Linked DNA regions of Anolis sagrei. The protein of the gene in region 4 interacts with the protein of the main gene of each other region in a pairwise test. Links are inferred from orthologs where the notes say so. Each region holds a gene or a part of one and is shown on either strand. Other genes may lie near its edges.

What was found.
Region 1: the proteins of UBQLN4 (region 4) and PRPF40A interact in a two-hybrid assay, tested with the Homo sapiens proteins (2 studies listed by BioGRID and IntAct). The link is inferred for Anolis sagrei from reciprocal best matches to the Homo sapiens genes UBQLN4 and PRPF40A.
Region 2: the proteins of UBQLN4 (region 4) and SPP1 interact in a two-hybrid assay, tested with the Homo sapiens proteins (2 studies listed by BioGRID and IntAct). The link is inferred for Anolis sagrei from reciprocal best matches to the Homo sapiens genes UBQLN4 and SPP1.
Region 3: the proteins of UBQLN4 (region 4) and PTN interact in a two-hybrid assay, tested with the Homo sapiens proteins (2 studies listed by BioGRID and IntAct). The link is inferred for Anolis sagrei from reciprocal best matches to the Homo sapiens genes UBQLN4 and PTN.

What each region holds. Positions count from the first base shown.
Region 1 is NC_090021.1:204,090,458-204,097,555, reverse strand, and holds the start of PRPF40A (pre-mRNA-processing factor 40 homolog A), read right to left. Parts: upstream 3,009-7,098; 5' UTR 2,730-3,008; coding exon 2,313-2,729; intron 1-2,312. Other genes in the region: ARL6IP6 (ADP-ribosylation factor-like protein 6-interacting protein 6), read left to right, coding at 3,379-3,694, 5,457-5,510, 7,051-7,098.
Region 2 is NC_090025.1:20,057,206-20,064,808, forward strand, and holds the start of SPP1 (osteopontin), read left to right. Parts: upstream 1-4,586; 5' UTR 4,587-4,731; intron 4,732-7,603. UniProt on the Homo sapiens protein: Major non-collagenous bone protein that binds tightly to hydroxyapatite. Appears to form an integral part of the mineralized matrix. Probably important to cell-matrix interaction.
Region 3 is NC_090025.1:174,648,210-174,655,973, reverse strand, and holds the start of PTN (pleiotrophin), read right to left. Parts: upstream 3,017-7,764; 5' UTR 2,673-3,016; intron 1-2,672.
Region 4 is NC_090032.1:22,790,017-22,796,841, forward strand, and holds the start of UBQLN4 (ubiquilin-4), read left to right. Parts: upstream 1-3,825; 5' UTR 3,826-3,864; coding exon 3,865-4,017; intron 4,018-6,825. UniProt on the Homo sapiens protein: Regulator of protein degradation that mediates the proteasomal targeting of misfolded, mislocalized or accumulated proteins.

The DNA.
Region 1 (7,098 bases), on a different chromosome or scaffold from region 4:
CGAGAATACACCTCTCCAGGAATCTCTAGGTTCCTCAGCATGATTCTATGGTCAACTTCGGCTAGTATCATGCTGGAGCAATCTAGTGATTCCTAGAGAGCTGGTCTTGGTCCTCCAGTGTGATTCCGACAGAAGTTGCACTGGAAGGCACAGATATTCTCATGAGAAAACATTTCAATTAATCAGTGCATACTCAAATCACCAAATCAAAACCTGAAAATATGGGAAGACTGACTGTATACAATATATACTGTAGGACCCAACATAAATGGGCCGGCAGAACATTGGTTAAGTGAAAATGTTGGATAATAAGGAAGGATTAAGGAAAGCCTATTCAATACATATTATAATTTTACAAATGAAGCACCAAAACATCATGTTTTACCTGGAATGAAAATGCAATCAATACGAAAGGCAGGGGTGGGAGTGGGTACCAGTTCCAAGCCTGCTTTTTGTATCAATTGCCTGGGGCCTGGCAGTGCCTGCAGCCGAGCACTGAGTAAGAAGTGCTCCTTACTTGGTGTTTGGCTGCAGGCCCTCCCAGGCCCAGGCATGTAGGCCAGGAAGCCTGCACCCATAGGTACGAAGTGCCCAGTCCTACAGGTGCAAGCTGTGGGGCTATGCATTCGGCCTCGCAGGGCCTGCAGCTGAGCACTCAGTAAGGAGCGCTCCTTACTTGGCACTCAGCTGCAGACCTTGCAAGGCCCAGGTGCATAGGCCCAAAGCCTGCACCCACAGGCTCAGGCAGTTTGGGCCTACGGGTGAAGTCTCCTCCCTCAACAATAGGCTGAAAGAAAACAGATCTTTTGGCCCTGAAAACAAAAACAAAAATATCTGACCTCCCGAATTCAGGAGGCTCAGACAAAAACGGATTGGGCCCCCCACCTAAAGCCGGGACACAAAACGGATTAAGGTATGTCCCAAATGCACATGACTACTAGTCATCATGAAGATAATAAAGCTGTCTGAGACTGAAGAAAAGAGTAATAAAACCAATTGTGTGGAATACCACACATGCAAAATAACTTTTTCTTACATTGAGCCTCCATTTGTCTACATAAATTGCTTTTGGTTCTGACATTTTCCTATGTCCAGACTTAAGGGTTTAAAGGACTTCAAAGCACTCATGCGTCAGGGTACAAAAATGGCTTTATAAAGGTACAATAACAAGTTTATATATTAACAGGAATCAAGAAAATATTACCTTTCTACTCCACTAGCAGTGAACACATTGAATCTGGAACTTGAACCAATTATCAAGTACTGTATCTACCTCTAAATTGCTTAGCAACCAACCTACGAACCCATTCAAAACATTTTCCTGGTACATAAAGATTTAGGTGTGACTAAATACTTATTTTATTTTGTTACTTCATGTATCTTATTGTGATGTAATTTTTGTTGCTTTCTATTTTATTTTGCTGTATTGTATTTTTGGGCTTGGCCTCATGTTAGCCGCCCTGCGTCCCCATTGGGGAGATGGTGGCAGGATATAAATAAAGATTATTATTATGCACTATAAGAGGGTTTTGCTAGACCAGTCATTCTCATTGCAATGGTGTAGTAACAGTGAGGATGCAGACCATATTTTAGTCCTGGTGGTCCATAGATCCCCAGGTTTTTTGTGTGTGTCAGGAGTGACTTGAGAAACTGCAAGTCATTTCTGGGTGAGAGAATTGACTGTTTGCAAGAACATTGCCCAGCAGATGCCCAGATGTTTGATGTTTTACCATCCTTGTGGGAGGCTTCTCTTGTGTCCCTGCATGGGGAGCTGGAGCTTGACTGACATGAGCTTACCCTGCTCCCTAGGTTCGAACTGCCAACCTTTTGGTCGACCAGTTCAGTTGCGTAAGGGTTTAACCCAGTGGTTCTCAACCTGTGGGTACCCAGGTGTTTTGGCCTACAACATCCAGAAATCCCAGCCAGTTTATCACTTGTTAGGATTTTTGAGAGTTAAAGACCAAAACATCTAGGGACCCACAAGTTAAGAACCACTGGTTTAACCCATTGCACCACCAGGGGCTCTTGACCACAGGACATAAAGGGATAAATACCACACAAAATTGGGAGGCTTGCGAAAGCGGGTTGGAGGAAAGTGTTGGGGGTGTAGTTGAGGGTCGGCAACCAAACGGGCACGAGAATGAATGCTGCCTGGCATTACTGTAACCGCTATGGAATCCTGGGAGTTTGGAGTTTGGTGAGGCGCCGGCACTTTTTGGCATGTAAGTCCCAAGGCATTGTGTGCAGGCACGTGAAGCGGCGCCAGGCTGCATTAAGTCTGCGTGGGGGTCAAGGGCCACGCCAAAACTCACCATGAGGGCGTCTCGGCCCATGCCGCCGCCGCCACCTCCGCCTCCACCGGGTCCTCCTCCTCCTCCTCCGGGCCTCATGGCCGGGTTGAGAGGGTTCCCCCCGCCTCCGGGGCCTCCTCCTCCTCCGGGGCCGCCTCCTCCTCCTCCGCACCTGCCGAGCATCCTTCCCCGGAGCGGCTGGCGGGAAGCGGGCCCGAAGGGCAGTAGGGGCTCGGGCTCCCCGCGCGGGGGCAGGAGCGGCGCCAAGAGGCTGACGGGCTTCCCGGAGGGCCAGTCGGGGCCGCGGCCTCTCTTGGGCGACTGCTCAGGGCCCGGCCGGACGCCCTCGCCCGGGTTGAGCTGCATGAGGGGGGGCGGCTTGGGCAGCGAGAAGGGCAGCGCCTGCGGGGAGGCCGCCGCCGAGTCCCCGCCTGACATGGCCGGCCGGGCGGCCTCCCTCCCTTTCTCTCTCGAGCGAGCGCCTAGGCCCGGCCTGCCTGCCTGCTTGCCTGAGGAGAGGGGCGCGGAAGGAACTCCCCGGGGGGGAAATTTGCGCGCGGAGTGGGGGGAGGGGGGCGGCTTTGTCGTCGAAAGTCAGCCTACGGCGCGGGCGGGGCCGAGAAACAAACAAAAAAACCCTCTTGTGTCTTCCTCGCCGCAGGAGGCCAAAGCGGCGCGGGCAGGCGGGCAAGGCCGGGCCTCGTCCCACCAGAAGAAGGCCTCAGGCGGAGGAATGGGAAGCACAGGCGGGAAGGGGGAGGGGAGGGAAAAAAAGAGACGGGCCGCGCAAAGGACACTGGGAAAGCGGCTTCCGCTAGCAGGGCTACGGAAGCCCAAGAGGGCCCTTCCTTAGCCCAGGGAAAGGAGGAGGGGGCGGGCAAAGAGAAAGGAGAGCCGTTGTGAGGGTTAAGAAAAGGGGAGGGTTCAAGGCGCGGAGCATGATGGGAGGCCACTCGTTGCCGTTACGCAGGAAAAGGCGGGGCTTCTAGATTTCCCCACCCACCTTTTTTCTTGCCTAGACTTCCGGTGTAGGCCGAGTGGTGGGCCTCTGCTTCCCCCGCCCCTCCTGCCTGAGTGTTCGGTTGCCATGGCAGCGTCCTATCGGGGCTCCAGCCAGAGCGGGCCTAGCGCGGCTTGGACGCCGGACGGAGGCGGGGTGGCGCGGACCCTGGAGGCGGACTTCGAGGAGGAGGAGGAGGGCGAGGGAGGGGGTGCGGGAGGCGTGCTGGGCGGCCTTGGGCGAAGCTACGAGGCCTCCCCCGCGAATTCTCCTCGGGCGGGCCTGCTCGGGGTGTCGCTCCCCGGGCGCCGGTGGCCCAGCAGGATCTGCGCTGTGTTCTGCTGCCTCCTGGCCGTGACCTTCCTGGCCTTCTTGCTCGCCCTCGGCTGCCTGGTGCTGAGAGGTGAGCGCTGGGGGGGCGGGGGGCGCTCGGAACCCGCCGAGAAACGCCAAATTGGGCCCTCCAGGAGTTCTGGCTCCCCACTCCCACAATTCCAAACAGCCCCAGGCCCCGTCCTTCCCCCCCTCAATCGCTTAAGCCCCAAAGTGGTTCACTCCTGAACTGGATCTGATGCAACATGGCTGCACTGGAGGAGGAATGCAGTTTGACACCCAGTTTAACTGCCATGGATCAATGCAATTCTTCCCAAGAGTTATAGGTTTACAAGGTCTTTGGCCTGTTCTGCCAGAAGCCCCATCTGCACTTCCATTGAACTGCATTCTATGGCAGTGTAGACTCGTATAATACAGTTCAGTACAGTGACGTACATTATACAGCATTGTAGATGGGGCCAAATGTCCCCCTGGTGGCACAGCAGGTTAAACTGCTGAGCTGATGAACTTTACTGACTGAAAGGTCAGCGGTTCAAATCCAGGAAGCGGGGTGAGCCCCCACTATTACCCTCAGCTTCTGCCAATCTAGCAGTTCGAAAACATGCAAAATGTGGGTAGATCAATAGGTATCACTTCTGCGGGAAGGTAGCAGTGCTCCATGCAGTCATGCTAGCCACATGACCTTGAAGACGTCGACGAACAACACCGGCTCTTTGGCTTAGAAATTGAGATGAGCACCCCCCACCACCGCCCAGAGTTGGACACGAATAGACTTAATGTCAGGGGAAACCTTTACTAGATGGGGCCAAAAGGTGCTGGTGCCTCACCAAGCTCCCAGGATTCCATAGCATTGAGCCATGGCAGTTAAAGCGGTGTCAATCTGAATTAATTCTAAAGTTTACTGTCACCCTACGCAAGCATAGTTATGATGGGTCATGCGTGATTGGCTAAAGGTTCACAGTGAGTTCACAGGAAAGCAAGACTCAGTTGTAGCTTATTAATACAAATATAGTGCCAACCTCTGGAATTTTAGAAGAAAAATATCCCCCATATTGGATAAACGGATACCTCAGTCTTTGCTATTATTATTTATAGTATGTGCGTAGTGTTTGTCGTCGCATTGCCTGTGAAGGGCAAGGAATACTCAGAGGTTTTGATAGTTTCTTCATCTGAAATAAAGTATACAGCATCCATCAATCCTTGATGGTCCTTTATCCTTGTAGTAAGCAGTATTGATACAACTTCGCTTCCAAGATCAGAGAAGATCTGGTGCTTTTAGGTATTTAGGCCCCTGCTTCATAATATATTGGATGGTTACACGCCCTGGTGTGTGTGTGCATGCACATGCCTTTAGACTACCTGACTGTTTATGGCGTTCCCATGTATTTGATTGGGTTTTCTTAGGCAATGAATACTCAGAGGTGGTTTTACCAGTTTCTTCCCTGAAATACAGCCAACAGCACCTGTTGGCTGTATTTCACTGGGAGCCTCCCATCTAAGTGCTAACCAGGTCTGACCATGCTTAGCTTCCAAGATCATATGGGATCTGATTCTACACGATATACATATTATTTACCACATTCAAAGCTAAATTTCACTCAGGCATTCTTGATGTCATAGGAGTTTCTATGTACATATATTTATAGACAGGTGAATGTACCCAGGCTACAGCATAGAGAAGTTCAGGAAAGAGAGGATGTGGCCAATTTTCATGATTGCAAAGAGACAAAATGATTTTCTTTTCTTAAAAAAAACATAAGCAAGATATTCAAAATGTTTTCTGAGGGTAGGTCCCAGTGGCTACTGTAGATAACCATGCCTTCTCCTTGCAGATTTGAGATATGAAAAAGCAAGGGCTGAAGATACTGTAGAAACAAGTATTTTAGGTAAGACATTTTTAAAATTCATTCATTGTGGAACACTTACTGGTGCATTACTCATTCTTGGATCAATGACTGCTATATTTTAAAAATGATTCTTTTTTAAAGGAACAGTAAAATTATCCAACACCTTAATTAATAATCAAAATAAATATCCTACATTTGAGGTTTATAATGTTCAATGAGTGCTAATATGTATTCCATTCATATTCCAAAAAAATATTTCCAAGCATGCCTACATTTGTAAATTTAAAATTATAACAAATCATGTATGCTGAAATCACATTACAGTTATCTTGATTTATGCCTTAAGTGTCTTATGTTATTCTACCCACTCACTTAGTATAAAATGAATTATTAAGTGCTTTAGAGTGAGGTGGGTATAATGTAACCACAAGACCATAATTGAGGTCACCACCACCTATATTTTTAAATTTTTCCTTAAAACCAAAAACAACTTTTAAGTTTTCTCTTTCACAAATGTGCTTGCTCTCCTTGGTCTGTTATAGTCTGGAGGAGGAGCTTTATATAGAAGCAGAAGTTATTCTTCCTCATTTAAAAATGCCTCTTCCTCCTTTTTTAATAAGGGTCCTCCTTCTTTCCTTACATTACATTTTTATAGCACAATGTCTCACGTCTAACTATCATGGCAACATATTGTAGATTTCCAAGGTTTTTAGTTGGGGGGTGGGGAAAGACCTCTGTGGTGGAGAATCCTAGGTACTCTTCCCTAAACTTCAAATCCCAGGATCCTTTAACTACCATTGGTATGGTAGTTTATGTGAAACCATACTGCTATAGCAATCTAGTGTTATAAGGATCTCAGTCTAAACCAGCAGAGGATAGGAAAATCAAAAACATAGTGAGATTGCTCACCTTAGAGGAGGTAATTATGAGTATAATGATTTTTTTTTTCCAAAAATGGGATTGGAATGACAAGCACTGTGTGGGGTGGGGGGATATACGTTCCATTGAAGGCAACATATATTCCCTGTACTTTGAAAGCTAACTCCTTGTTTGCTATGAATAAAGCAGTCAAAAATACTATGAAGCTACTATCTGGAGCAAGGTTCCCAGGAAATTTTTATGTGACCCCAGCTATATAGGTATATAAAAAGTTATATAAATCAAACACTTACTAATAAATCAGCATTTGCAAGGCTTGCTGAACAGTCTGGTTTTCCTTTTTTGTGCAATATAGCTACAGCGATTTCTGCAGAGTTGTTGCTAACAGAGTTGTTGTAAATATCTAGGTGGCATTCAGAAAGAAAATTGTTACCAAATTTGTCGTGAACCCAACATAGAGCTAAGGGGACCCCATTTGAGGCCAGAACCCTCAGTTTAAGAAGTAATGGTCCAGGTATTATATGGGAATATTCCACATTCATCATCTGAGTAAATATGTGTAGATAGAATTGTATTTAGACAATTGTATGCCTGTTACCTCCTTTGTTTTTCTACTTTCTAGCAATAACTCCTGTGTATTATCTTTTTAATGTTGTATTTTAAGCTTTCAATGTTTACTACTGTGCTCTTCTTTTGCAAGGATTTTGGACTCTTCTTGTTCTGTCATTAATGGCTGGGCTGTCGTGCT
Region 2 (7,603 bases), on a different chromosome or scaffold from region 4:
AAATCACTGTGCTGCAGAAAAATCCTGCTGTTTGAAAGGTCCAGCAGTTCAAGCTCGGGTCGGGGTGAGCACCCGCTGTTAGCCTCAGCTCATCTGCCCACTTAGCAGGTCAAAAGCAGACATGCGTGTAGATACATAGGTACCACTGTTAGTGGGGAGGGAATAAAGGTGTTTTTAAGGACATCGATCAGAGGAAAGCTCCTCGGCATGGAAGATGAAGCAACAGCACACACACGCACCATGGCGGGAGTTGAGCACAGCCTCCAAGATGTCAGAAATTAGATGGGAAAAACTGCCTTTTCCTCTGCTTTGTTATCTGTCCTTGTTAATTGTATAATTGGCATTGAATGTTTGCCATATGTGTGTTCTGTAAACTGCTCTGAGTCCCCTTTGGGGTGAGATGGGTGAGTTATAAATACTGTAAATACATACATACATACAGCATAAATTATTTGCAATAGGGCAAATTACTTTTTCACTGACATAAACACAAAAGGAGTTGGTGTACAGCAATGTTGTGTTTTGTGAGTATGCCCTATGCATTGCACACTGTGATTGTGCATTGCACAATGGCATCTGGTCATTGACACCTGTTTCACAATACTGCTATCCTTCAAGAGGATTGTATAGTGTTTGTGCAGCATATCTCTAAATGTGCATATTTACACTACACTTAGGAGATGTCAGATTACAGCCATTAAATAATAAAACTGTTGAGCTCAATAAACTTTGAAATGCTTTTAGAGGCCCAAATGGCTTTAAACTTCAAAACAGTTCAAAGGATCTTCACATTCTTGTCATAAACACATTCCAGAATATGAGGAGGGGGCATTTCACAATTTGGGAGCCTGTACACAAATCCCAAAAGGGCCTCTCCTGAAGATATTATCTTATCATCCAAAGTTCATAATGAGACTGACAGAAGATAACCAGCTGTCAAGCTGTTCGTGGCTTTAGAAGTTCAACTACCATCTTAAATAGAGCCAAGAGAGCAACTTGGAAGCAGCACAGATCATTCAGTAGCAGAATAATATTATCTTGTCATCCTGCCCCAGTTATCAGTTTAGCTGCCACATTTTGCATGAAATTCTGGAGTCTTTACAAGACTAGCCAGCCACACACATATTTATGTGGAAAGGGAGATAGATTAAGAATGTGCCAGCGCAGATTCATAGCACACAGGACTGTGTGACCCCCTTGATTTTTCCACAAATTTCAGCTGCAAAATAGAGCCTTGTTTGCAAGTTTCTATTCAAAACAACAACAACAAAAAACAGGGGAATAGTCCTACAAAGAGTGCATTGCAGTAGTCAAAATAGAATGCATTGCAGTAGTCATGTTATTTAACATCTATATGAAGCGGCTGGGGGAGATTGTCCGGAGTTTCGGGGTGTGGTGTTATCTGTACGCAGATGATGTCCAACTCTGTCACTCCTTCCCACCTGTTACTAAGGAGGCTGTTCAGGTCATGAACTGGTGCTTGGCCACTGTGACAGTCTGCATGAGGGCAAACAACTCCTAGAATGATTCCATCAGCGCTGCCTTTGGAAAATCCTGCAAATCTCTTGGGAAGACAAGCGGATAAATGTCAGCATGCTGGAAGAAGCAAACACCATCAGCATTGAAGTGATGATCCTCCGCCATCAACTCCGCTGGACCTGCCACGTTGTCCAGATGCCTGACCACCATCGCCCAAAGCGGTTGCTCGACTCCGAACTCAAGAATGGAAAACAGAATGTTGGCAGGCAGGAAAAGAGATTTAAAGATGGGCTCAAAGCCAACCTTAAAAACTCTGGCATAGACATTGAGAACTGGGAAGCCCTGGCCTGTGAGCACTCCAGCTGGAGGTCAGCTGTGACCAGCAGTGCTGCAGAATGAGGCACGAATTGAGGGCAAAAGAGAAAAATGTGCCAAGAGGAAGGTGCATCAAGCCAACCCCGACCAGGACCGCTTTCCACCTGGAATCCAATGCCCTGTGAGAGACGATGCAGATCAAGAATTAGGCTCCATAGACACCTATGGACCCACCCTGGAGGATTATCCTACTTGGACAATGAGGGATCGCCTAAGAGGGCAAACAAATTGAAATTGAATCCAGACAAGACAGGGGTACTCCTGGTCAGTCGTAAGGCCGAACAGGGAATAGGGTTACAGCCTGTGTTGGATGGGGTTACACTCTCCCTGAAGACACAGGTTTGCAGCTTGGGTGTGATCCTGGATTCATCGCTGAGCCTGGAACCCCAGGTTTTGGCAGTGACCAGGAGAGGATTTGCACAGTTAAAGCTTGTTCACCAGCTGCGCCTGTACCTTGGGAAGTCTGACGCTCTGGTTACATCCTGTGTAGACAACTGCAATGCTCTCTATGTGCGTAAGCTTGAAATGGTCCAGCGTGCAGCAGCCAGGTTACTACCGGGAGCTGTGCTCAGGGAGCATACAACTCCGCTGCTGCGCCAGCTCCACTGGCTGCCAGTTTGCTACCAGGAATAATTCAAAGTGCTGGCTTTAGCCTATAAAGCCCTAAATGGTTCTGGCCCAGCTTATCTATCTGAACGCATCTCTCACTATGAACCTTCCAGGAATTTGAGATTGTCTGAGGAGGCCCTGCACTCGATTCGGCCTGCTTCACAGGCACGTCTGGTGGGGATGAGAGACAGGGCCTTCTCTGTGGTGGCCCCTCAGCTGTGGAACTCTCTGCCTAGGGATATTAGATCAGCCCCCTTCCTCCTGACCTTTCGAAAAAGAGTGAAAATCCGGCTCTTTAGCAAGCATTTGGAACTTCAGCATGACCAGATAAACTCAAATTGGAATATGAACTAGGAATGGCTAAGACGTTGGAACGGTTGAGGAATTGAACAAGAAGACATAGTTTTTATAATTTTTATTGCTTATTGCTTTTATATTTTTAAATGTATTGTGATGTGATTTTTTGCTTTTAACCGATGTATGTATTTTTATATATGGCATCTAATTGTTGCCAATCTGAACGCCGCCCTGAGTCGCCTTCGGGCTGATATGGGCGGGATAGAAGCGACGTGAATAAATAAATTTTAAAAAAGTAACTTCATTCAGGCATGGGTGATTATTGTCAAGTCAGTTTGATGAAGCAAAAACACTCCTAGCTGCCATTGACAGTCAGAGCTAATCCATGATATTTTTAAGGGACAATCACTACCACTGTGGTACTGAAACACTTGCTGATTGAGCTGATTGCCATTCACTGCCTAGCAGAAGGACCAGCCCTTCTTGTGCCTTCCCACTTGAAACTGATATCCAGAACAAATGGCTGACCTTTAATTAAGTATCCTTCTCTTGAGGTTTTCAATCAGAGGCTGGATGACCATCTGTCTTGAGTGCTTTGATAGCATAATCCTGCATGGCTGAAGGAGATTGAATTGGAAGGTTCTTGGGATCTCTTTCAACCCTCTGCCCCTGTGAGTCTAATTCTCCTTGTGGATACTGCAACCTATGCTGATTTTCATGCAGCAGTCTAGCTAATGGGTTGTTGTAGGTTTTTCAAGCTGTTTAGCCATGTTCTAGAAGCATTCTCTCCTGATGTTTTGCCTGCATCTATCGCAGGGATCCTTAGAGGTTGTGACATCTAGCTAATGGCATCCAAATGCTTCTAGGTAATGTGAGATGTAAGTAAATGAGGGCCATAAACCCACTTCAGGTTTTAGTCTGTATTTTAAAGGATCTATCCAAGGTGCTAAATTCAATACAAAAAACAGATTCAGATGCTTTCTTTACAGTTCAGAATAAAATCTAGAATGGATTCCCTTCCCCAGAATGTAGGAATTACCAGGTGTGATTGCAATATGGGCTAGCTGTGTGTGTGTGTGAATATAGACAGAAACCATGCCTTCAGGGTTGGTGGACAATTTGTTTCAGCTTTCTGAATCAATTTCAAAATATCACTCATTTGCGCCAGAAGAGTGACAAGGAATTTTTAGTAGTCCAGTGAAAACCAGCTAAATACATAGATTATTCTACTCTGAAAAAGGTCGCTATTTCTTACTTTTTTAAATTCCAAACTCCCAAAATAAAAAAACACTAAGACATTTACAAACAAATTTATTACAAGCCTTTTCATCATATATATTTTTGTGTGCACATGTGTGTGTATGTATGTATTTTCTGGCAATACTTATGTGTATAATTTCAATAAACAAACATAGTAATAAATAAATCCATCAGTGTGGTTGGTTAAATTTGACCTGCTCCATCCTGAGCACCTATTGATTTGTTTTAAAGCAATGTTGTTCTCCATCCATTTAAAAAAAAAAACTGGCACCGGAAGCAATGTTATTTCTCCATCTCATAAATGCCAAAGAGAGCTTAGCCTCTAAAACCCTTTGGCTCGAGACTGAACGCTGGGCATTGATCTCCAGCTCTGGTTAATGAGATTGTACATAAGTCATGTTTTAACCATAGAGTAGGTTCTTGTTTGCTCTGGAAGCCACAAACCCCAAAAGGAAATGTAGGAGAATAGTGGGAGGACAGTGACAAGAAACCTCATGACCTCATCCCTTCCGCCTGCCGAGGATTGGCTGGCCGATGTCTGGACTAGAGTTTAAATTCCAGAGGTTTGCAGATAGAAATCAGCCGAAGAGGAGAAAGAAGACTGAGCAGCATCTTCTGAAGCAAGCCTTAGGCAGTGCCTTGAGCTTCACCAAAGCAGTTAGCATCAGACCTCTGCCTGAAGCTACCCTCCAGATCCAAGCTTAACTTAAGGTACTTATGCTCTTTTTTATTATTCCTTGTTGGATTATGTTATATTTTCATAGAGTTGAATGTGATGCAGCAAATACTTGGGGGAGGCTTTAAATATGCAAATTCCTACAACCTCAATGAATCATGACAGAGAAAGGGAACAGTGAGCACAGTATTAAATGTGTTTGCCAGCACCTCTCCTGTTTCCACTTGGAAGAATATTAAAGGATTTAAGGAGGAAGTGGTTTGCAGGAGGGAGTGCTGAAGTGCCACTTAGAGCTACAAATTTGGTCTTCCTGCATTTTACCACTGATGATTTTGAATGTCACATATTTTGGGCACAAGAGGTATTCTATATTCTGCCAACCCTGCTAATAAATTGCTAGTGTTTGCAATCTAAGACTTTACACCTAAAGGAAGCCAGCGTTGTTCTATGGTCAATATACTGAACAAGCAAATTGTTAGGTTACAGGACAGAGCTCAAATCCCCACTCATTGGGAGATTTTGAGCTAGTTCTTTCTTAGCTTAAGATGGGTATATGATGCATGCTGTCCTGAGATCCTGTGAAGAAGAGAAGTCTAAAAACATAAGAAATAAGCATGCCAGAATGTGCTGTTTTGTGCTTTGGAAACAAGGGTTGCCAGCTGTTTTGCTGTCTGGGCTCCTGTGCCTTTAAAAGCTGTGTATTCAATGGTTAAATGTTCATCCTCTCATTTAGCTGCAAAGGCAGGAGGAATAAATGGCAACAAATTGGCAACCCTTTCCTATAGCTCCAGATAAGATGCGACACAATGAAGTCATTCAGTAGTGATGGAAAGTGATTCTGTATTTGTCTCAAGGACATTCCTTTGTTACTTCATGTGTTTTGGAAGCAGAGCTCCCATAGATCCAGTCTTAAATGAAGTTCTGTGAGTTCCAAAGAGGATGTTCCACCACCTTTTCTGCACCATTATTTTGTATAAAATGCCTTTTCAAATTAACCCACACACTCCTGGCTAATAACAGTCCCATTATCCTTGCATTTAATAGCTGAAAAGGCTGAGGTGCCCACTTGCCTCTTCAAGAGTTTCTCCTCAAATGTACTTTGGTGCAATGTTTTCATATTGATTTTCTCTCTCATTAACCTTGTGAGCAGACAGGGAGATGTGCCAGCTTCCCCATCAGTCTGCCTTGCCATCATGATTCATCAATTTGTGATGCTGATGTCCCCTGATTCATCACTTTTATTCCTTCAGGGTCAGGACTGAGTAATAGGATCACTCCTGACTTGGAAATTCTAGCTTGTTCTGTCCAAATAATGCCTTCGAATGAGGAATGGATTGATTACACAACCCATTAATTCTGTGTTTGACAAAGTCAGGCAGAAAACAAAACTGTTAGCAACTCATTAATTTGGTAGAGAGCTTATGCTCCTCTGCCAAATTAATGCTTTTTCTCTAACTAGAATTTCTACAAACTTTTGCCGCATTTGCCTGTGGTTATTTTTATTAGCCAAGATTTTTCCTCCAGTAATTTCAGTTCTTGTAGAATTCCATGGTGCTATAATGGAGATGCAATATTCATCTCCATGCAGTTACATGCAAAAGCTTATAGAATCACAGAATCACATCATGGTAAGAGACCACAAAGGCCATCTAGTCCCCTGACATATAGGAATACACGGTCAAAGCACTCCTGACAAATGGCCACCCAGCCTCTGTTTAGAACCTCTGAAGAAGGAGACTCTACCGTATGCCGTATTCCACTGTCAAACATCTTGGATAGTTTGGAAGTTGTTCCTAATGTGAGACAGAACATGTATCTACATTACAGAATTAATGCAGTTTACTTTAATTGCCTTGGCTCAATGCTATGAAGTCATGGAGTTGTAGCTTTGCAAGTTCTTTGCCAAAGAGTGCTGGCACCTCACCAGACTACAAATCCCAGAATTCCATAGCATCGAGGCATGGCAGTGCTGTCGAACAGCATGCATTCTGCATTGTTGATGCACACAGTGTCTTTAAAAACACAAACATCCTTCAGTCCATGTTGTTTTTCTTTGCCAAATCTGCATCGTTTTCCCTTCTTGTTGTTCTTGTCATAGATCCCTTGCTAATGGAGGGCACTAGTGGAGAAGGAAATACAAGAATAGGGTCAAAATCAAGGTGTTTTGGATACTGAGAGAACTCCACTTCCCTCCTCACTTGGCCATGCACTTCAGTAGATATTGGTGATTATTCCTGATGCCAATCCTGTTTGCATAAATGCATATTCACTGTGTGCTCAGTTTCCCACTGCAGTCATGTGCTGGGTTAGGCCACACCAAGGGCATGTTATCTGCAGAGGTCATCTGCTCAGTATCTCTCAAACCAAGCAAATCGCTGACAAGAAGTCAAATCTAGCTCAGCTATTCAATAAGGGCATACTATCTTCTCTTATATTTTCAAGTCCAAGGACACAGAAACAGCTCAAATTTGATGTAACATTTTTCTTCCACCAAGGGGCATGAGCAGAGAGATATTGAGAAGGGAGAAATTCCAATGAAACAAAAAAAAATACTCAAGGAACATTTACAAGAAATACTGGAGTCTTGTTTGAATATCATTCAGGTTGAATCCTTTTTAGAAACTTTGGCAAAGAAGAATCATATCTAATTCTATGGTCAAGAAAAAGTTTGTGGCAAAGTGGCCATATCACTTTTGTCTCTGACTTCAGTGTTTTTCATGGATACACATGAAATACTAGGATCTTAGAGAGGAATGTTTTTTTATATTTCATCATCCAGAATTTAAAAAAAAAAAAAACCATAGGAAGTACCAAAATATGAAATTCCCATTCTTCATTTTAAGATAGTAAGTTGCTACTTATGTCTAGTAAATTTCATGAATTTTTATAAGTAAAGCAATAGAGGTG
Region 3 (7,764 bases), on a different chromosome or scaffold from region 4:
TCATATTTAACTAGGGCTCTGGATGTTTAAATCTTATAACTTATATAGTTTTTAATCACTGTGTATTGAATCACATTTGTGTACTAAATTAGGTACACCACCACTGTTTGTCCTGATTCATTCTTTATCTTTAACGGATACATACCAGGCAGAAATGATACACTCTTCTCCTGTTGAATTTGGCCAGTACAGATAGCTGATCATTGCATTTGTTTCATTCCTGGCAAGTTCTTACAAAGAATTTGAGATTTAAAACATCTGAAAGTGGGAAATAGCAGCAGATTTTCATTTCTAGTTTTTTCTTCTTCTCTGAATGTAGGAGCCATGTATGCATGCCCTAATTGTTGCAACCCTAATTTTAAAACATCAAACCAGATTTTAATTGAACTCTGTGATGTGCTCTGAAATCAGAGTACCAATGATGAAACAGAATCCCTGAAAAACAACATCCTGATTTGGCTGTTCAGTTCCAAGAAAGGGGGTAATACCCAGAATGCAACAATAGTGGGCAGGAAATGCATGCCAATATTTTCTTTTAACTGTTTCCAAGTGTGGGGGTTGATGAGGACTGGTTGGGGCAATTGCAGTTGCAACTGCTTCCAGACCAAATTGGACAGTTTTTGGATAAGAAAGCTTGAATCCATTATTCAAACTTCAGATATTTGATCTTTCCAGGAACCAGTCCACTTTAATTAACATGAATGCCACAGCGTGGGTGGGTAATTTGACTGGTTTTGATTGATGCTTTTCAAGAATACTACTACACAAAATCTTGAGGCTTGTTAAAGAATCCACAAAGCCAGTTGGTTCACAAAATTCTGGATAAAATCACCTTTAGTTGACTTTCTCATTCAAATCATTTTGTTCTTCCTATAATTCTTTAACTGCATGGAGACCCATGGCAGGACAAACTACATTCTGTGACTACTCTGTAATGTTTTTCATAGTATTCCAGAAGTACTCGGCCTTAAACTCCCAGATGGTCTTTACACAACAGGATGGTAACAGTAAGAAAAAAGAACAGTTCACAACTTTTTATGTAGTGTTTTCACACTGGAACCCAGGAGACTCAACTTTAGCCTTTAATATTGTTGACGTTGTTTATAACTTTTTAGCCACTCCATTCTCCCTTCCTTCATGCTATTTCCACAACTTCTGAGAAACAATATATAACTTCCTTCGTGTAACTTTCTGTTCCCAGAGCATCACCTGAAAGTACCTGCAGCTACCACCCTAAGGCTAGCAGGCCTGAAGCTAGTTAATGCCCTGGATAGGAGAGTGCTTGGAATATCCATATTAGCCATCTTGAATTCTATGGGAAAAGGGGAAGTGTGTGTGTTTGTGTGTGTGTGGAAGGGGAAGGCAAGAAAGTTTACAAATATGCTTTTGATCTCTAGTATGTATATACATACGCTCACCTGAGCTATTTCCAAGAAGCTTGAGATATGAACAGGAAAGAAAAACCTGTTACAGTAAATTTCTGGCCTTCATACCAATAATAGCATTGCACTATATAAACTTTCTTGTCAAGTTAGATTCAGAAGTAGAACCAAAGAAGCAGAACATTATGATTTAACATTGCTACACCAGAAAAACTCATTCTGAGTCCAATACTCTGTAAGCATGTTGTCATCAGCCTATAAATGTCAATGCATCCAGCAGAGCAGAAGGAAAAGTAACCAACACGAGCTGGTACTGATGACAGTAAGGAAAGCTCCACCCTCTGCTTAAGGCTGGGCACAAGGACATACACTCTTCCAAATTAAGAGTTGAGGAGAAACAGGTTCTTCTACACATCACTCAACTCTTTACCCTATCCAATGATACCAACAAGGCTCAAAATATACTGATTTTTGGGGGGGTTAGGTAGATTTTTAGATAGATCTTTAGATTTCTTTTGCAATGTTCTCATAACAAACAGACAGAAGAGAGAAAGAACTAAAGAAGGGTACTTACATTCCTGCCTCATGTGACTCCTTTTGAGTTGATACAAACCAGTACTTCTAGTAGGTGTACTATCCTAATACAAATTGAGTAAATTTTATTCCAATGTTTGGAACTAATGTTTTCAATTTTGGTATAGCCATTTTGCATATATATACATAATGAAGTATCTTGGAGACTAGATGTGCATATAAATACAAAAATAATTTACATTTCATTGTACCATATAGACATAGCAGTAAAGTAATTTGATATAATATATTGTTAACAATGTTGCATATGAAACAAAGGTTGTGTATGTTGAACTATCAAAAACTATCTGTCATCCATGTGGACAATTTCAGATTTTGGAGGATTTTAGGATTCCAGATAAGGAACGCTCAAACCATATTCAGTTTTCCTCAAATGAAGAATGAATTGCATGCTATATGGCATTCAGAGCTTTGCAAGTCTTTTTTTTTTTCGGAGGATGCCAACCACTCCCATCATTAGACAGAAGAGCACCATTCAAAAAACACATCTTCAAGTAACTCAAAGTGTCTTTCACTCGATCAACTTCCTCCACCCATGAAAACCTTTTAAGCTAAAATAGTATCACAAAAGAAAAATCAACCTGGCGTTAACTTAGCATCTCTGCCCAACTTTCTCATTTTTGGTTGGGGTGGAGATGGATGGTAGGAGGGCTAGTAAATGCCAGACTTTAATAAGCCAAACCAATGTGTACTTACTTTGAGTAGCAAGAAAATCTCCCGTCTCTGTCCAACTATCTTCTGCTCTCAGCGATGAGTCCTGAGCTTTGGTGCACCTTGGCTCTGTGAGAGAGGTGGTTTGCCACTTCTTTTTTCTTGCCCTCCTTGAAACGATGGACTCTTTTCCTCCCACACTGAGCTTTGGATCTTCCTCTACTCCTTCTCAATGCACCTGCTCTTCCCTTTGAATTTTCTCACCAAGAATGTTTATAGTCAAGGCAGAGAATCTGATCCTTGCTTTTGACTATAGAGAAAGCAGGCAGCGAGAGAGTGAGTGAAAGAGAGAGCCAGCCAGTGAGAGAAAAGAAAGGGAGGGAGGGGAGAAAGAGCACGGTTCACTCATGTGATCTGACTGGGAAGCTTATCAAAAGCAGGTCACTCAAGGGGCAGTCTCTCCCACCAAGACCCAAGGCAAAGCAGGAAAGGGGGAGGAATGGAAGAGGAACTCTCTGTCTTCTTCTTTTTCCAGGCAGTACTATGGAAAAGTAAAATTCAGCAGCTAAATAAACAAACAACTTGAGATTCTGCATGCATCCAATCAGCTACTGAACTTTTTTTTGTCAATGAATACCTACTATCACCTTTCACAAACAGCGACCTAATGGCAGATTTGCCACTCTGAGAAGTATTTCTAGCATTTCAGAGAGTGATCATGGTTAATACCTATCTTTTGCCATGTTTGTATTAACTTGTTAACTTTGTGTGCCCGGTTTTTTCTTTGGACACTTGAAATAAAATTTCTAAAGGCTCAGTGGACAGTTGAAATTCCTACAATGCTAAAAGTTTGGAGACTGAAATAATGTTTTCGTGGGTGAATGAGAAATTTTTATTTGGAGAGCAATGTCTTCATCCCTGCATTTGCTACACTTTTGTTCTCAAGCCATATTGAAACTCAAAATGTCTCTTTCTCAACAGCTAATTTGCATGTATTTTGCCAAAGCCTCTTCCCACCAGTCTCAGATCAAGACTGTCTATTCAGGTAAACACTATAACAGCTGAGGAACCCTACCAAAAACATCACAAAGTTCACAATGGTGCTCAAAATCCATTAGTGCTCACAATACATCCAGTGCTCACAATGCATCTGTTGCATCAAAATATTAACAATGGGGGGAAAGCTCTTTAGTTAGACTCTGAGAACCAAGAGAATCTTATTGGGATAGAAAACAGATGCATTTCTCTTCAGCCAAATTTTGAGCCCAATTTCACTCTGTTGCATTCTTTATTATGTGCTGAAGAAAATAATACAGTCCAATTTTACTGCTGTATTTTTTGTTCAACAGGATTCTGACCATAATTTCTTCTTTGCCCTCTTTACCACATCTCTGCTTCCACTAGAGGTGTAAATATACTGGGAGTGTGCGATTCATTAAAAAAAATCCCATTTCTGGTCCCGTTTTCTGCCCTTCTCCCATTTATTGGGAAAATCCCAAATTCGGGAGTGAGGAAATAATGTTTCCTGATTAGTCATCCAAAAGTTCTGTTTTCACTCTGGGAATATTTGGCTGCCCTCACCCACCCCATTTCTGGGGATTTTGCTGTCAATTCGACCAAATTCCCCAATATGGAACAGCAACCTGATATCATGCAGACCCCTAAAATAAATGCACACGTATTTTCCTTTTCATGACAAGAAAGGGTACCTCAACAAATTGAAAAATATTTGTTGTTGTGTGTCCTCAAACCATTTCTGACTTACGGGAGTTTGTTTGGCTAAGAACATGTGATTTGCTCAGTTACCTAGTGGGTTTTCATGACTGAGAGGAGATTCAAAAGCTGGCCACTAGAGTCATAGTCCTATGGTCAAACCTCTACACTATGCTGACTCTTTTGAAACACATATCTCTTTTGAAACTGACCATATCTTCATGATATGGTCAGTTGGTCACCACTTCTGGAATCTAAAGTTCCTGTGCCTTTAATGGTTTTATAGAAAAGGGAATTTCAGAAGGTGTTGCTTATGACAAGCAGTAGGTGCTAAAATTATCTCCTAGCACAACCATTAAAGGTAGAGGAGCATCTCCAGTTTTCCTTCTGTCAACTTTAAAAAAGATCATAATTTGGGACTTTTGGTGAAAAAGCAAACATTTGTTATGACTCTTTTAGTTTTTTATATAGAAAATAGTTTTGTACAGAAAATGGCATATTGTATGCAAAAGACATTGTCTTCTGTAGGAAAGCCAAGTTTGGCACAAAAACCCAAGATATTTAGCCAACTAATGTTTCACAGAATGCCCTGGAAAAGAAAATATCATTTGAAAATGTGCAAAACCTTTCATAAATTTATCCAATTAGAATTGCCAGACTGAAAAGTAGAGATGGCTCCGACACTTTTAATGATGTGTAATGAAGGGCGTTTCAGCAGGTGTTGCTTATCGCACAATCAGGTAAAAGCAACACCTGCTGAAATTTCCTCTTCTATACTAAAGGTATAGAAGCCCTCTTCAGTTCTGACTGTGGCAAACCTACACCCAAGCAAGATAACATTTTTCTTTGAAAATATCATTTCTTGTGTGGAGGATTTTTTTTTTCATGTCAGGGGCAACTTGAGAAACTGCAAGTCGCTTCTGGTGTGAGAGAATTGGCCATCTGCAAGAACACTGCCCCAGGGATGCCCGGATGTTCCAATTTTTTACCATCCTTGTGGGAGGCTTCTTTCATGGGGAGGAGCTGACAGAGGGAGCTCATCCACACTCTCCCCAGATTCGATTCTACCGGCACAAGGGTTTAACCCACTGTGCCACCAGGGGCTCCTGTGTGGCAGAATGAAATAAGTGAATATTTCCATCCCAATCTTCTACACTCATCTTTCATGTCATATGATACTATTTCATCTACTCATTTGGCTACTTCTTTGGCTCTGTTCCTAGCAATGTGGGATGAAAAAAATTAAAATAGAAAAATATGAAGTAGTAGGAGCTGGAAGGCTGAAAGATGAAAGCCTCCAGCCAGAGATGCCTCATCCTTTTATGGACTAGGAAGGCAACAAACTTCAGTTTCTAGATGAACAACTGCACTGAGAATGGCAGCCAACTTCCTCCCCATCCCTATTTGGCCACTGTGTTAAATTCCTTATGATTCAGAAATTGTTTCTCTAGATTCCAAGAGTACAGGAACTTGGCTCCCAATGGAGTAGTTGTTTTAAATATTTATGTTATATTTGTAAATAGGGTTTTATTGCTGACTGTTTTAGATCAGATTGCTATAAGGAATTTTTTGAGTTTTAATCTGTTTTAATTTTTACTTTGTATGTTCTTATTGTATTGTTAGTGGCTTTGAGTCTCGCCTTGCTGCAGGAGAAAAGTGGGGCTAAAATTGACTCAGATAAATAAATAAATAAATTTGATTTCAGCCAACTTTGTGTTATTTGTCCAGGTTGGGAAGGATGGTCACTGATGGGCAAATTATTCCAAGCTGCCACGTTGTAGTACATTTTGATGGTGGGTTGGGAAATATACACTTTTTAAAAATTACACTGGGGGAAGGGGCATTTGGGGACTTTGAATTGTCCAGAGGTCTTCAAGGATACAAAAAGGGGCCACTTGCTGCCTATGGGTTGAAGGCTGCCCATTTGTGTTCTCGTATGCTTATTAGGCTTCTGCATTTGGGATAAACCTTGACCCATTTCATGCCCCGGCTTTTGTTGGGGGCCCCAATCCATTTTTGAGAGCCTCCCGAAATCAGGAGGGCAGATATATGTTTTCACTCTGGGGTGCTGAAAGATCGATTTTCTATTGGCCCATTATGGGGGTGGGGACTTCCTAGGATCCCCTTTCCATCCTTTTCAGCAGTTAAGTTGTTTCACACTAGAGGACAGGTGCTAAGCTGCAGGCAGGTGCATGCTTTAAGGAGGCTTCTTACCTATTTCTACTCTAGAGGAGAGGTGCTCAGCTGCAGGCAGGCATGCACATTTTTTCTCCTGGGCCTGTACACCACACGCATGCTCTTTCCAAGGCAAGGAGGCAAGTCCTGTTTCTTACTCTAGAGGAGGCACTTGACTACAGGTAGACATATGCACTTTCTGGGCCTGAATGCCACACATGCACTCTTTCTAAGGCATGGAGTGCCACATGCTCATGAAAAGCAGGTGAGGAGCTGGGATCATCTCCCACCTGCTTTCGTATCGAGCTGATTTTTATAGCGGAAGGGGCCTTCTGTTACATGCTCTCGAAGATAACAAAAGTAATGAAAGAACAGATGTACCGAAGGAAAATAGTTCCGTGAACAACTCTAATGCTTATCTCCACACTGATTTAGGGTGCCACATGGAATTTGGAACAGTACTATTGTAACTTTCATGCTCTACAAAACCTCAAAAATATCTGGTACCAGAAAGCTCCATGAAGCGAAGTTATGTCAAGCAGGTTTCACCTGCAGTTGTCCCCTTCCAACACATTGGTTCCCTTGTGGGAGGAAAACAAAGAAAATAGCAAAGCAAAGTGCCCAAATCTAAGTCTGTCTTCAGATGCTCCTCCAATGCACATGATTCTCTACTATAGTGAGGCAATAGCCATGTTTGAAATTGATAGCTATCTTGATATTTGGAAGGTCAAGGAGGTTAAGTTGGTCATCTTCTGAGCCTTCATTGTATTCTATCCTTTTTCTTCAGGATTAAACTTGTAAAAGCCCTGTACTATATACAATCTACAACTACAGCTTGTGTATCCTTTATCCAGAAATCCAAAATACTTCACAATTGTCTACATTGGTGCCACCCTTGCTTTCTGATGGCTCAGTGTATACAAACTTTGTTTCATGCACAAAATTATTAAAAATATTGTGTATAAAATTACCTTCAGGCTCTGCATGTGTCTATATGAAACATAAATATGAAAAGAAAATCCAAAATCTAAAACACTTCTAGTTCAAACTATTTCAAATAAGGGATACTTAATCTGTACTGACCTTTCTGTATGGTCCTTTTTTCGAAACACCATTTCAGTCTTACACTAATTATTTTTCTAATTATGGGTGGTCTGCAATCTATCAAGATACTTTTTTCCTATTTAAATCAAAATACTTGGCTTTGCAAGTTGGCAGAAGTAGCACCTCATATTAATCTCAAATAGTA
Region 4 (6,825 bases):
ATTATTATATTATTAATAATATATTATATAATCTAAAGCCTATTTGGATAGGAAATAATAATATAATTTATTATTAATAATAATTTATTATATATAATATAATATATTATAAAATTAAATATAATTATAATTATTATATTATTAATAATATATGATCTAAAGCCTATTGTTCGGATAGGAAATAATAATATAATATAACAATTATTATTAATAATATATTGTTATATATAATATAATATGTAATATAATTATATAATATAATATAATAATTATATTATCAAGAACATATATAATCTAAAGCCTATTGTTTGGATAGGAAATAATAATATAACAATTATTAATAATATATTATGATTATATATTATATAATATATTATATAATTATATATAATTATATAATATAATAACTATATTATTAATAATATATAATCTAAAGCTTATTGTTCGGATAGGAAATAATAATAATAATATATTATTATTATTATTAATAATAATAATATATTATTATTAATAATAATAATATATTATTATTATTATTATTATTATATAATATATTATATAATTATATATAATTATGTAATATAATATAATTACTATATTATTTATAATATATTATTATTATATATTATATAATCATATATATATATATATATATAAATATTAAATCTCCTTTCCACACTGGACAGTTATACCACTTTGATTCCGGTTTAACTCCCAATTGGGATGGGTTGTCTTTGGAGTAGCGATTGTGCTGATGATGCTTCAAAATGGTGATTGTTGGCTGTTTGGTTGTTGATAGCACGGTTGTTTCGTTTTGTTTTGATATTCAGAAGGTGTAAATCCATTGTGTTGTTTATACAGACTATTTTTATTTAAAAGTGTCATGTCTCTTTAAATAATTGCGCCATTTCCATTTTTGCTCCTGGCACTGCGCCTGCGCAGTCGGGCTCCAAGAAGTCCTGGCTGCCTTATGCCGGGCATAGGCTTTCCCTCCATCTTGGTCCCTGGCGTTGCGCATGCGCAGTTGGGCAGTAGGGAGGCGATGAAGCCAGGCGCAGAATGGGATGCTGTGCTTGGGCTTTCTCTCCATCTTTGTTCCTGGCACTGCGCACGCGTAGTTCGATACCAAGAAGCCGGGACGTGTGCCTTCCATCTTTGTCACTGGCATTTCGCACAGGAAGCCCTGGCTGGGTTATAGGCTCCATCTTTGTCTCTGGCTCCACGCAGGCGCAGTTAGGCACCAGGAAGTGCTCCTTCCATCTTTGTCCCTGGCATTAGAAGATGCCGGTTTCATCCTATATAAATATATACAGACTGTTTTGATTTATTATTTTCTTTATTGAGAACATGTCTGCATAACATAAAGTACAATTAGCATACATTAGAACAGGAATATACATTAAAACAGTTTAGTTTAAAGTTTTAATTGGATTTAATTATATATCAGAACTTTTATAGAACTTTTACACATTGGACATACAGATACAGATTTTCTGCAACTACATTGGATTCACAACTACTTACAGTTACATCGGCTAACAAACAGACAAAGAAAGGGAAATTACATCTTGACCAATATGCCGATGATAACGTAGTCTGTGCGCATTCAGAAGAAGACCTACAAAGTCTGTTATGGAACTCCAATATGCTGATGATAACGTATTATATTATACGATAATATAATATAATACAATATTATGATATGATATGATATGTAATTCTATTATATATATTTATTATAATCCAATATAATAATAATAGAATCCTAATAATAGGATCCATCTAGTCCACAGCGCCATATTGCACTGTATTATATTATAATATAATATGATACAATATGATAATATATTTATATGATATGATATATAATTCTATTATAATTCTATTATATATAATTCTATTATAATTCTATTATATATATTTATTATTATCTGAAGGGGCCATTCTAGTCCACGGTGCCATATTGTATTGTATTGTATTATATTATATTATACGATAATATAATATAATACAATATTATAATATATGATATATAATTATATTATATATATTTATTATAATAATAATAGAATCCTAATAATAGGATCCATCTAGTCCACAGCACCATATTGCACTGTATTATATTATAATATAATATGATACAATATGATAATATATTTATATGATATGATATATAATTATATTATAATTATATTATATTTAATTCTATTATATATATTTATTATTATCTGAAGGGGCCATTCTAGTCCATGGTGCCATATTGTATTGTATTATATTATATTATACTATAATATAATATAATACAATATTATAATATGATATATAATATGATATAATATGATATATTATTATAATATGATATATTATTATCTGAAGGGGCCATATGTAGTCCATTGTGCCATATTGTACTGTATTCTATTCTATTATACTATACTATAATACAATACAATATTATAATATATGACATATAATTATAATTATATTATATATCTATTATAATCTAATAAAATTTATTATAAAAATGACATCTCTACACAAACACACAAATATATATACAGACACACAAATAGACAGATATATCTCTACACACCAAGCAGATATACCTTATTATTATTATTATTATAATCCACAACCTGTTCTATCTTGTGTGCCATTATTATTATTATTATTATTATTATTGATATGTATCCATTATTATCATTCTCTACAATAAATAATAATAATAATAATAATAATAATAATACAACCTATTATGACCTCTTCTTATCATAATCTATATTCATTATTCGACAATACATATATACCTTATTATTATTATTAATTATTATTATAATCCACAACCTGTTCTATCTTGTGTGCCATTATTATTATTATTATTATTGATATGTATCCATTATTATCATTCTCTACAATAAATAATAATAATACAACCTATTCTGACCTCTTCTTATCATAATCTGTGCTCATTCTTACCTATTTATAATGATACTAATAATACAGCATATAATGGCCAGACAGTGCTTGGAGCAAACAATCAGGCACATCTAATCACCTCTCAACAAAAGATTCCCCCAGGCACTGCCAGGCCATCCAATGCTAATCAAGGTGGTCAGTGGAAACATTCCCACCAAGCTCCAGCAGACAAGAGTCCTTAGTCCCACCCTGGTCATTATTCCACAGATATATCAACCCATTTTCCTACTTCCAACAGACCTCACTACCTCTGAGGATGCTTGCCACAGATGCAGGCGAAATGTCAGGAAAGAATGCCTCTAGAAGATGGCCATATAGCCCGAAAAAACCTACAACAACTCAGACATCTAATCACCTCTCAAGAGAAGATTGCCCCAGGCACTGCCAGGCCATGCAATGCTAATCAAGGTGGTCAGTTGAAACATTCCCACCCAGCTCCAGCAGACAAGAGTCCTTAGTCCCACCCTGGTCATTATTCCACAGATATATAAACCGTTTTTCCTATTTCCAACAGACCTCACTCCCTCTGAGGATGCTTGCCACAGATGCAGGCAAAACGTCAGAAGAGAATGCCTATAGAACATGGCCATATGGCCCGACAAAAACCTACAACAAGGACACCTAATCACCTCTCAACAAAAGATTGCCCCAGGCACTGCCAGGCCATCCAATGCTAATCAAGTTGGTCAGTTGAAACATTCCCCCCTAGCTCCAGCAGGCAAGAGTCCTTTGCCCCACCCTGGTCATCATTCCACAGAGATATTCCCTCTTCTTCTTCTTTTGGGGGAAGCGGAGGGGAGGGGCGTGGCTTCGGCGTGGCCCCGCCCCCTCTGCGCCTCTCTCCGCCGGAAGTGTGCCTGGGGGCGGCCGGAAGTGGGCCAGTGCGCGGGGATGGCGGAGCTGAGGGGCGTCGCGGGGGCTGCCGGGGAGGGAGGGGCGCCGGAGGGGGCGCAGGAGGGTCGCCCCGCGCTGATCCGGGTGACGGTGAAGACCCCCAAGGACAAGGAGGAGCTCCTCGCCCCGGAGACACTCTCCGTCAGGGAGGTGAGACCGGGGGCGGGGCATCGAGCACAAGGATTTGCATTCGGGGGCGGGGCTTAGAGCCAGCCTATTACTATGCAGGGAGGAGGCGTGGCCTGGAAAGGGGCGGGGCCCGGAGAAGAATAACCCTTGAGAAGGATTTGAATTGGGGGGCGGGGTTTGAAGAGAGTGGGCGGGGCCATTTACTAGACTCAACTTATTAGCATTCAGTGAAGGGGCGGGGCCTGGAAAGGGGCGGGGCCAGGAGAAGAATAACCCTTGAGAAGGAGTTGTATTCGGGGGCGGGGCTAGGAAGAGGGGCGGGGCCATTTCCTATTACTATTAAGGGAGGAGGAGGGGCCTGTAAAGGGGCGGGGATTTGTAGAGAGGGGGCGGGGCCATTTCCTAGTATTCAGTGAAGGGGCGGGGCCAGGAGAAGGATTTGCATGCAGGGGCGGGGCTTAAGGCCACCCTATTAGTATTCAGGGGGCGGGGCCTGTAAAGGGGCGGGACAAAAAGTTTTAAAATGCCTTTCCTACTATTCAGGGGGCGGGGTTTAAAGAAAAGGGGCGGTGCCAGGAAGGGGGCGGGGCCATTCCCTAGAATCAACTTATTAGTATTCAGTGAGGGGCGGGGCCATGTCCTAGACTCAACCTATTACTTATTCAGGGAGGTGAGCAGGGGGCGGGGCGGAGCCACGAGCAGATTTGCGTTTAGGGGGCGGGGCTTAGAGCCAGCCTATTAGTATTCAGGGAGGAAGCGGGGCCTGGAAAGGGGCGGGGCCAGGAGAAGAATAAGCCTTTCCTGGAGAAGGATTTGCATTCAGAGGGCGGGGTTTGTAGAAAGGGGTGGGGCTAGCAAGTGGGCGGGGCCATTCCCTAGAATCAACCTATTATTATTCAGGGAGGGGCGGGGCCTGGAAAGGGGCGGGGCCAGGAGAAGAATAAGCCTTTCCTGGAGAAGGATTTGCATTCAGGGGGCGGGGTTTGTAGAGAGGGGCGGGGCCATTTCCAAGAGTCCACTTATTAGTATTCAGGAGGCGGGGCCTGGAGAGGGGCGTGGCTAGAAGTCTGAAAAAACCTTTCCTTGAGAAGGATTTGGATTCGGGGGGCGGGGCTTAGAGCCAACCTATTAGGGAGGGGCAGAGTCTGGAAAGGGGCGGGGCCAGGAGAAGAATAAGCCTTTCTTTGAGAGGGATTTGCTTACAGGGCGGGGTTTGAAGAGAGGGGCGGGGCCATTTCCTAGAGTCAACCTATTACAATTCAGGGAGGAGGCGGGGTCTGGAAAGGGGCGGGGCTAGAGGTTTTGAAAAACCTTTCCTGGAGAAGGATTTGTACTCAGGGGGCGGGGCTAGGAAGAGGGGCGGGGCCATTTCCTAGAGTCAGCCTATTACTATTTAGTGAGGAGGAGGAGGGGTCTGTTAAGGGGCGGGGATTTGTATACAGGGGGTGGGGTTTTAGAGAGGGGGCGGGGACATTTCCTAGTTTCTTAGTATTCACGAAGGGGGCGGGGCTGTAAGTTTTTAGAAGCCTTTCCTGGAGAAGGATTTGCATTCAGGGGGCGGGGCCAGGAAGGGGCAGGGCCATTTCATAGAGTCAACCTATTAGTATTCAGGGAGGGGGCGGGGCCTGGAAAGGGGTGGGGCCAGAAGCAGAATAAGCCTTTCCTTGAGAACTATTTGTATTCAGGAGGCGGGGTTTCTAGGGAGGGGGCGGGGCCATTTCCTAGAGTGACCTTATTAATATTCAAGTAGTGGGTGGAGCCTGTAAAGGGGTGGGGCCAGAAGTTTTAAAAAGCCTTTCCTCAAGAAGGATTTGCATCCAGGGGGCGGGGTTTGTAGAGAGGGTGGGGCCATTTCCAAGTGTCAACCTATTAGAATTCAGGGAAGGGCGGGGCCAGAGGTTTTTAAAAGCCTTTCCTTGAGAAGGATTTATATTGAGGGGATGGGGCCAAGAGGGAAGGGCGGGGCTAGGAAGAGGGGCGGGGCCAGAAGCAGAATAAGCCTCTTCTTGAGAAGGATTTGTATCCAGGGGGCGGGGTTTGTAGAGAGGGGGCGGGGCCTTTTCCTAAACTTATTAGTATTCCGGTTGGGGGAGGGGCCAGAAGGAGAATAAGCCTTTCCTTGAGAAGGATTTGTATTCATGGGCGGGGCTAGGAAGAGGGGCGGGGCTCAGAGCCAACCTATGAGTATTCAAGGGGGTGGGGCTTAGGAAGGGGCAGGGCCAGGAGTAGAAAGCTTTATTCTATTCGTCTCCAGGGGCCGGGCTTGGAGTGATCTAGAACCTCACGGCCCCAAGTTTGGGCAGAAGAAGGGGGCTTGGGTGTTCTAGAACCTCACAGTCCTACGTTTGGGCAGAAGAAGGGGGCTTGGGGTGATCTAGAACCTCACAGCCCTAAGTTTGGGCAGAAGAAGGGGGCTTGGGGTGATCTAGAACCTCACAGTCCCAAGTTTGGGCATAAGAAGGGGGCTTGGTGTGATCTAGAACCTCATGGTCCTAAGTTTGGGCGGGGGAAGGGGGTCTTGGTGTGATCTAGAACCTCATGGTCCTACGTTTGGGCAGAAGAAGGGGCTTGGGGTGATCTAGAACCTCATGGCCCCAAGTTTGGGCAGAAGAAGGGGGCTTGGGGTGATCTAGAACCTCGTGGTCGTAAGTTTGGGCAGAAGAAGGGAGCTTGGTGTGATCTAGAACCTCATGGTCCTAAGTTTGAGTGGAGGAAGGGGCTTGGGTGATCCTAAGTTTGGGTGATCCTCATGGTCCTAAGTTTGAGTGGAGGAAGGGGCTTGGGTGATCTAGAACCTCATGGCCCCAAGTTTGGGCAGAAGAAGGGGGC